Linked DNA regions of Arabidopsis thaliana. The protein of the gene in region 1 purifies or fractionates together with the protein of each later gene. This does not show direct contact. Each region holds a gene or a part of one and is shown on either strand. Other genes may lie near its edges. The genes, in order: AT3G18940 and AT3G25545.

Evidence for each region.
Region 2: the proteins of AT3G18940 (region 1) and AT3G25545 fractionate together in Arabidopsis thaliana (co-fractionation; one large-scale study listed by BioGRID). This does not show direct contact.

The regions. Positions count from the first base shown.
Region 1 is NC_003074.8:6,526,160-6,531,013, forward strand, and holds AT3G18940 (clast3-like protein), read right to left. Parts: upstream 3,015-4,854; 5' UTR 2,892-3,014; coding exon 2,832-2,891; intron 2,536-2,831; coding exon 2,370-2,535; intron 2,141-2,369; coding exon 2,082-2,140; intron 1,907-2,081; coding exon 1,788-1,906; intron 1,559-1,787; coding exon 1,321-1,558; intron 1,216-1,320; coding exon 1,092-1,215; intron 1,002-1,091; coding exon 922-1,001; 3' UTR 575-921; downstream 1-574.
Region 2 is NC_003074.8:9,275,202-9,279,509, reverse strand, and holds AT3G25545 (trigger factor), read right to left. Parts: upstream 2,666-4,308; 5' UTR 2,541-2,665; intron 1,903-2,540; 5' UTR 1,874-1,902; coding exon 1,070-1,873; 3' UTR 819-1,069; downstream 1-818. Other genes in the region: AT3G25550 (F-box family protein), read right to left, coding at 75-396, 472-632; TRAM, LAG1 and CLN8 (TLC) lipid-sensing domain containing protein, read right to left, coding at 3,249-3,280, 3,356-3,537, 3,619-3,804, 3,883-4,038, 4,115-4,308.

The DNA.
Region 1 (4,854 bases):
AAATATATTCAACGAATATTAATTTTATGTAAATGACATCATATGTGAATGTTAAGGTTTAGTAAATATGATAAAGTTCAAGAATCAAAATTATGATAGACAAGTTAAAGACTGTAATTTTTAAACATATATACTTTGTACTAGTCTTCAAAATATGTGAGAAAAAGAAGTACTCCACTAACCAAATCACATGTACATAAGTTAGGACCCCATCAGTTCTTTCAAGAACCGAAAACTATTTGCATGTATTTTACTTGGTCAGAAATTACATATATAAAATTCTGGTGGCAATAAAGGTGCAAATTAAAACCGGTCAGAAGTACTTGCCTTGGTCTATCTATACAATAAAACACAATGACTCCAGAATTTATTGCTCAACAACTACTTTCTTTTTCTTTTAGTCCCGGAGATATTTCTTACATTATTATTGTTCATGCAAAGCTATATTTGTTTGCATCCACAGAGAAAACGCATAACCGGTCACATCAAATACATTATGCATTCCGGTCTGATGAGACATGAGTTTAACTGTTGTTCGGTTTAGGATTTACTACACGGATTCTGGTTTAGCATCTTATCCTCTTTGTTTAGAATCATACGAAATTTCATAATATACCCACTGATAACAAAAAAAGATTCACTTCTTGATTAAAAAACATAATTTCAGAACGTGATTGAATCTCTCCTATTTTATGATCCTGTCTCCCTAGATACATTTTTGTCTAATAATGTAATTCTACTTGTTATGTTTTGTTGTTATACAGTAGCAGATTTGATGATGAAAAACTGAAAAAAAAGAAAGAAAGAAAAGGTGTCTCTATCGGATTAAACCATCTCAAATGTTCATAAACTTCTCATTGGATCATAATTGTACCACTACAACAACCTCGGTGTCTGACACTGTGAGCTCCAACAACAGTCTTAAAACATAGACATATCCGGAGGAGCTCCATACATACTCTTCCATGAATACGGTATCTGCCATTTCCCACCTTCTTCCCCTGCAGAAAAGAATATTCATAGTAAGTTTCATCGCCTCTCACTATTAATTGCCCGGGTGTTGTTACCCTCGGAAGAATAGAACTATTTACCATGGAACTTGTCAGGAGTCAGACCCATAAGCTTAGATGAAGCCTCAGCTAGAAGAAATGCTTCAGGAATGTTGTCTCCTTCAGAACAGTAACATAGCAGGCATGTCATCTTCAAGCCTCTTGCCTAACCCCAAAACAACATAAACCCCGCACAGGCCATATAAGTGTTTCAATCATCTAAAAATGAGTCGTAGTGGTTACATTGTTCATTATAAGGCATTTTATCTACCTTAAAAGCTGAGAAAAGAGCTGCAAATGGCAAGCTTGGATAGTAGTCTATGTCTTCAAGTTCATCTTCTGAAGGCAACGCCAGCTCTTCTACACTGTTCTTTTCAAAGACAGAGCTAAGGTACTTCCAACATCTTCCTTCTGAATCATACTCGTGCAATCTTCCAAACCCAAGCCTTTCACAGTGATCATCTCTTCCATCAGATTCAGCGTTAGACAGATAATACACCTGTGGGCCTCTAAAGTAATTGCCAAGGAGACCACGAATTAACTTGTGAAGAGTTTGCTTTTAGTAAGAAATTAAGAATGTGGAAAGAAAAAGGTGCAAGTGAAGCTCATTTATTTATCAATCAAATCTGTGATTAGAGACCTCTGATGCTGTTTGCACTAGACTATATTTAGTTCTACATTGAAGGCATACGAAAAAAGTTATAGCAAAACACATATAAAAGGAAGCGTTATAGTTACCTCGACATATCCAAGTTATGCAGCCTTTGGAAGTCTAAACTCGATAACACAATGATGTGCTTCTTTCCACTTGAAGCAGCAAAATTGGCTATATTCTCCGCAAATTTAATCATCATTCCCTGTTTTGAATCAACATTGTAAGTTAAAAAATGACTCACTAAAATTCCCAATCTTTTTACTGAAAAGCTCCAGTTAATTGACATTTCATAGTCCCAACACAAAAAGCATTGAATGCAATCCTTCAAAAAACAGGATTCGAAATAACGAGGACAAAGCTGCCAACAATGTAAATACCTTTGCAACTGGAGACCGTTGCTGAGCAAGGGTAGTAGCAATTGAAGATGACTCATAAACTGAAAACACAAAACCAAAGCGGAGAAAAGAATGAGGTTTCACAAGTATAAAAGGTTTGATTCAACAATACAAAGTGGCATAGATCTAGGCATCAAACTATACAAAGGCAAATAATGTGTTATTATTGTCCTATATAACACCTTAATCATGTAAAACAGAGGATCCTTAATCTAAGAAAGCAAAGCACTCATTGATCTTAAACAAAGCATATAGTTTGAGAAAACGAACCCTCGAGAGGAAGGGCGATCTCGCCACAAGGAAGAGGGCCATAAGCATCATTTCCAACACAAGGAAGCAGATTTGGATCATCAAGATAACCAACTCTCTCTGCACCAGTAGATGACACTAGAAGATCAACAGCGAGCTGTCCTACATTCCCAATTGACAATGCTGGCTGGTGGGGGGAAACAAAATCAAAACTTCATCAATCATAAATCTTTACAACATTTGTTTTATGAGAAACATCAAATGCTACTAAACCCTAAACCTTTTTCCTACAAGTTTCATGACTGTTTCGTGGGATTTCAATGTTCCCAAGAAAAGTTGGGGACTTTCTAATTTCTATTTTCTCTTCAATAAAGGTACAGTTTTTAAGCTTTAGAGACGGAAATATCGAAAGGGAACGAATACCCAGAAGCAGAGAACAGATCGAAATCGGAGAAAAGCAAAGGAAACGAAACAACAACTTACGAGAACTAAAGTCGAGCAATCTTCATTCACTAGCTTTCCTTCTTCAACAACAAACTCCATTTATGAAGGCAAAACACTGGTGACAGAATCGGATTGCAAGTTTCCCAAATATCAAGTTCGAAGAATCTCTGCCTGCGTTCAGAACAGTTCTTCTTCTTTGGTCGAGCTTGAAGAGAAAGCCAGTGACTAATTTGGGCCGATATTATCAATCAAATGTAATATGGGCCATATTAAAGCCCAATAAAGGAAAAAGATGATGGACTACAACTGTAGAGTATATATACTTGGTGACGATTTTGTCCAAAAAAAAAAAAGGTGACGAGAAAATAAAAGAAGAAATGAAAGTCTATAATCTACTACATGCGGTGTAAATGTAGTTAGTACGACTTATGCTAACATTCTACAACCAAATAAAAAGTTGATGTATCTCAGTATCTACTATTGAAGTGAACCATTTGAGGGAAAAAGGAACAAAGCATATATATAAGATTGGAAAGAGATGAGAGCAGGGCCGGTACAATGTTTTTTCTTAATTTCTGTTGGTCATATTCTTTAATTTATATCAAGTGATTGGTCATATCAAGTACCTTTTAAATAAGTAGAAGAAGGCTGGTCATATCAAGCACCTTTCACTAGGGATAGTTCTATCTAAAAAAAGTACCTACAGAAATGGGGTTATAGTTTTGATTAAAGAAGCACTAGTATTACGTCGCATTGGATGCAAAAATGAGGTTACTCATTTCAGAACATAGACTAAAAAGAGAAGATTTTTTAATAAAGTACTAATAACAAGATTCAGACGACATTTTTCTTAAAAGTAGTAATTACATGATTTAGGAGAAGACGTTTTTTTAAAAAAATGTAGTAATTACGTACGCAGATTCAAGACTTTTTTTTTTTTGGTCAAGATTCAGACTCAAGACTCATGAGAAGAATTCTGAACTTCATCTTCATAATTCAGGGGCGGAACGGCGGAAGCTTTTTTTTTTATAAGATTCCTATGATGATCCTGAATTTGCTGGAGCGTAACTTACTCTCAGCTAATAGAGTAAGAGCGTCACTTCCAATTTTGAAGAATATCAAGATTTTGATTCAATATGGCAATCATTTCAAGTGTTGAGAAACCTTTAAAAGAAATGAGATTCATAATTAACCATCTACAAAACAAACAAAACAAGCCTCAGAGTTAAAAAAACCTACAAACAAAACAAACAACTATCGTAATTCAAGCAAACAAAACTATCGTAGTTATAGATTAAACACAAATTTAGACTTTGTTAAGTTAAAGTCCATACGTATAATTAATCGAAAGCCCTAACCAAAATATTGACCTTAGAAAAAAGGCTTATAATATAGTTTTTATATTAATAAAACTTAAAAGAAAAAATTTCTAAAAAATGCACTCGAAATATTAAAGTGATTGTTAAGACAATTATTATCCAGAGAGATCCATATCATATGATGACAATTTAAATATAATAATTCAAATGAATGAGTTAATCATTTAAAATGAGATGCGAAGACTTTCTGATGTTGGCTGTCTCTTCCATTGGGTACATTATGTTTCGTTTCTTGATCGCTATCCTTTTGGTTTATATTAAAATCATGATATGAAAAAAAAAACTCATTTCAGAAACAACAAGTTAGAATATTAGAAAAAAAAACTAAAACTAAAACTAATTACTAATTTATAGACTGAAATTAAGTTGATTTTTCTCAAAAATAAAATAAAAATAAATTAGTTGATATAAATGTGAGAAGAAACAGTTTAATCGCTTTTAAAACAAGAATTAATAACTAGGCAAGTATTATTGTTGAGGAACGTAAAATAAAACAAAACTACTATGGATTTGTTGGAAAAAAAATTGAAGGACACGGTAGGTCTGTCAAGGAGTGGTGCTGACCAATTAGTCCATATTCAATGATATATTATGAAATCAAATCTTATCCTCTAATTGAAAATTCTTATTAGGTTTTCTCACATGTCTAAATATTCGTCCTATGTCCATTAATTAGTTTAACT
Region 2 (4,308 bases), 2.7 Mb from region 1:
TCGAAAACCTCGCATGTCATCGTCGATGAGGTTTCCTCTTTTATTTTCTTCTTTGTTTTGGTACGTAACCACACTAGTTTGTATGTTCCTGTGACGCTGTCTTTTCCAAACCCGAGGCGAGAGAACTCTACCTTGTTGCTGTCTAAATAATTCTTTCGTTGAATCCTAGCAAGAGGGAGCTTCTTAGACCATCTTGTGTCTGGATTTATCACCATAATTGGCTGTTTCATGTCCACACCACTATATAAACAAAAAAGACCATCCACACTCTTGGAAAATAGTATCCGCCTCTCTTTGTGTTTCTTGCTAGTTAAATATTCTTCTTCTCCCACTAGACGACTCAAAGACCACTCCAACCTCATGGTCTTGTAACGAATGCTTGGCTTAGACCCGTTTCTTCTAACTTCATAGAGACAGAGAAATTTGGGTTCTTTTGTTTTCTGATGCAACATGTATTTCTTCCTGATTTACCTAGACTTTATCGTATGCCTCCAGTGTTTAGACACGGTTTGGAATCTAGTTAGGGTTTTCACTGGAAGCCTTACTATAATCTCTTCCAACACATCGTCGTTTGGTATCTTAATAACCTGTCTTCTTCTTCTTTTGCTTTCTCTTCCATGATGCATGATCATCTCCTGCTTCTTCTTCTCTTCTTCGTCTTCTTCTTTCGGTTTCTCTTTCAATATCTCTTGCGTGATATTCACTTCTTCTTTTTCTTCCTCTCTCTGAAGAGGACGAAGCAATCTTTCCCATGATATGTGTTGGCTTATTTTGGGATGAAGAAAATTCGTTTCGTTTTACAAAGATTGTAACCAAAACGGGGAAGTGTCTTCAGTCAAGTGGTTCCACATTTTTCACTTGAGTTCGACTCCGCTAAATTGTTGTTAGCCCAATAATTTGTGTGTACTAAGAAAAATCACAAGTCCTCACATACCTAAGAACAATGTAGAAATGAAACAAAACTGTTTTTGCAATGAGAACAACACAAGCGTAAATAAGGTCTCTGTTTTTTCCTAGTAAGCATAGAAACATGAAACAAGTGAGAAGCTTTCATTACTCTGTCTCTGAATCATGTATATAGATCAGAGTCAAGCCAAGTATCCTTTTTAAGACCAGTTCTTGAAGAATTCTTCTCCAGATCTTTGTTCACACTCGCAACATCCAAACTCGGGACAATTTTCTTCAGCAGAGCTCCGGCGAATCTTATCACTGAAGGACCAAACTCAGGCCATGAGATCACCAATGTTCCTCTTATGTTCTTTAGCTGGCACCGGCTCAAAAGTGAAGCACTCAGACCGTCGATTACACTCCCTGATGGGAAGTAATCGAGATTCACTAAACCGGTGTGAGTTGTTGCTTTCTTCTCAGCAGATGTCTCGAGTTTGGCTGCCAATGTTTCGTCTGGTGAGAGTCTACCTCTGAAGTTACGGCTCTGAATGGAATCCAAGATTATCACCCGCTCGGGGATAATGTCTTTGGCAATGAGCAATCTCGAGACTAGGTTAGACCGTTCAGGAGATACAGGAAGCTGAACAGAGACGAGGAGGGTCAAGTTTTTATCATCAGCACTACTCAAGGAATATATGTTGCAGGATTTGTCTTCTAAAGAAGGTTCCATGGTGTTTCCAGAAAACGGAACTTCAGGCATGATGAGACTTCCAAGGAGAGTCTTTGAAGGTAAACTATGGAAAATATAGAGGGAAGGTGAAGATATGGCTATGATAAGTAGAGATGGTCGGAGAGGAAGTTCAGGTTTCGGGTTTGAGAATATGATGAAAGGAGATGGAAGGGATTCAGGTGGCTGAACAAAGTTGTTAAGATCTTCTTGGAAGAATCTTGAAGGTGGAGGATTCTCGGTAAGTACATCTTCCATATCTTAGCTTTTATCAAAATCTCACAGACCTGTATCAAGACACACACACATCAGAAGAAGGATGCAAGCACTTAGATAACAATGACACCTAAACAAACAGTTCATTGGTTCTGAACAAAAAATGTAATGCCAGGAATTCAGTTGTATCCATATTATAAACCCAGCATGAAAGCACTAACAGTCGTAGGATCAAATATCTTATATTCCACATAAGAGAGACCCAGTGAGTGAGATTAGAAACACACCAAAACAGGACTAGTTGCTAAATAACCTAAATCAAACGCAAACTTCTGTTGGTTCTTGCTCATCTTATTATACTCCACCAGCAATGTAACAAAAGATAACAATCATCAAATCACAGATCTTATGCAAAGTACTACTTAAAGTAACCTAAGAGACTATAAAATCAATTCTTTTCCAGACATCCGATTCAAAATTACAATCTACTGAATCATATAGAGATCGAAACTCGAATCTTTAAGAACATGAAAACAATCCCAACTCAAAATCTCCAGTAAAGTCTCAAAATTTATACATTTCAAGAGTTGGGAAGCAAAGTATCACTTGAAGCCAAGATGTATAAGAATCGCAGCGCGAGACGACACAGGAAAAAAAAAAGCAACAAAATTTAGAGTTTTGTTCAGAGAAGGAAGTGAAAAAGACGTACCTTGTTGCAGTAGAATCGATCGATGATGATGAACAAAGAAGAGATTTTTTGTTTTTTTTTATCTTTCTTTTTGTTGCAATTGGTTTCAGTCTTCTCGGCCAAGACAGCGAGAAAGCTAAAACCTCAAACAAATCCCATAGGCGTGTCGCTATTATGTGCCGCTATCGTGCGCTACTATTGTGCGTCGCTATCGTGCGATACTATTGTGCGCCTAAAGATGCTGATTTTTTTTTCATTCATTTATGAAAAATTATTCTTCTTTTATCCTTTCCAAGTATTTTATTGGATTTTATCAAATTATGCAATGAACCAAAAAAAACCCCAAGAAAATTCATTTAGTTGTTAGTCTGTTGCATAGATGTTGAAGGGAGCTAATTTTGAGATGACATTAGTATAATGATACAAGGAATTGTGTTATTGCAAAAGCGTAAATTAAAAATTATAGAAGAAAAAACAATAGAACGTGGAGCAGTTTGATCAAAATCTTGAATTTGCTCAAACTTTAGAGAAAACAATAAACTCAAAAATTCAGATTGAGAAACCGATTCATTCAAAACGGTTTGATCCGGTTACGATCCTCTGGAAGATGATGAACCAACTGTTCAAATACTGCAATGCATCCTACTTGATGTTGAAATTCCTAGTCTCCGTGTGGTTCAGATTCATGAGATATAGAGCGTGTGCACTACTAATATTCCCAACATGCGATTAATCCTCGTGTTCATCATCGCTTTCAGAATCTGCAAAAAGACATGAACATTATTAATAGAGTGTTTTTGTCTCAAAATATTGTAATAAGAGTTTTTATTGCGTACCGGATCTAACATCTTCGCTAAGCTTGCCTCGATCTTGCACTTGTTTCACAAGCATCCGGTAAATCAAAACCCACCAGAATATGTGAAGAACAAGCAAGAAATACAAAAGTGTGTTGAACATATAGTACAAGATTGGTCCATTAGGATGCTTTTCTTTGTCCACAGTCATAATGATTTGATAGCTGCAAATCAAAACCCCACAATATATATACATCAAGGAAAAAACATTCAAGAACAAACGCTAAAGTGGATATTAAACAAACCTCGTGCTCCACAGGATCCAAAAAGGATAGTAAATGAGACGTAGAACGACCCAAGACAGCGCGAAAAGAACAAACGAAATGCTCGCGAGACTTTCCGCTCCGCAATATTTAGACATTTTCCCAATTTCAAGGAACACATCGCTCGCATCATGAAGTGCAAGAATAACAGAACCAGCACGAGTTAATCTATATCATCAACATCCAAAAACAAAACAAGAGTCAGTGTATCCTTTCCTCCACAACACAAGTGTATAATATACGTACCTGCAGATATAGGAGAGGACAATGAGAACAAGCGTTGTGATATGATGACCCATGGAAACTCCGAAATCAGACCGTCTTGTTTCCCAAAACACCAACGCGAATATAGAGTACGTGTAGAATCCAGCAGCAAACATATATAAAAACTTCAACTTCATCCTGCACACATAGCAGTATCATATTTTAGCAAATGACCATCACAAAAGATATCGATGACCATAACGAAACAACTTACTTCATTGGTTGATCAGGCCAAATCTGATCTCCAGGACCAATCCAAAAGTAGAGAGTATTTGAAAACCAAGGTTCATTATATGTGACAGATAAAGCAAGTAGCTCAGCTGATAGATAGTAAATACACTTCCAAGCTGATTCTTTAAATTTTCGAACTTTTGGACTATTTTTCTTCCTGTCTTTTATGTTGTCACT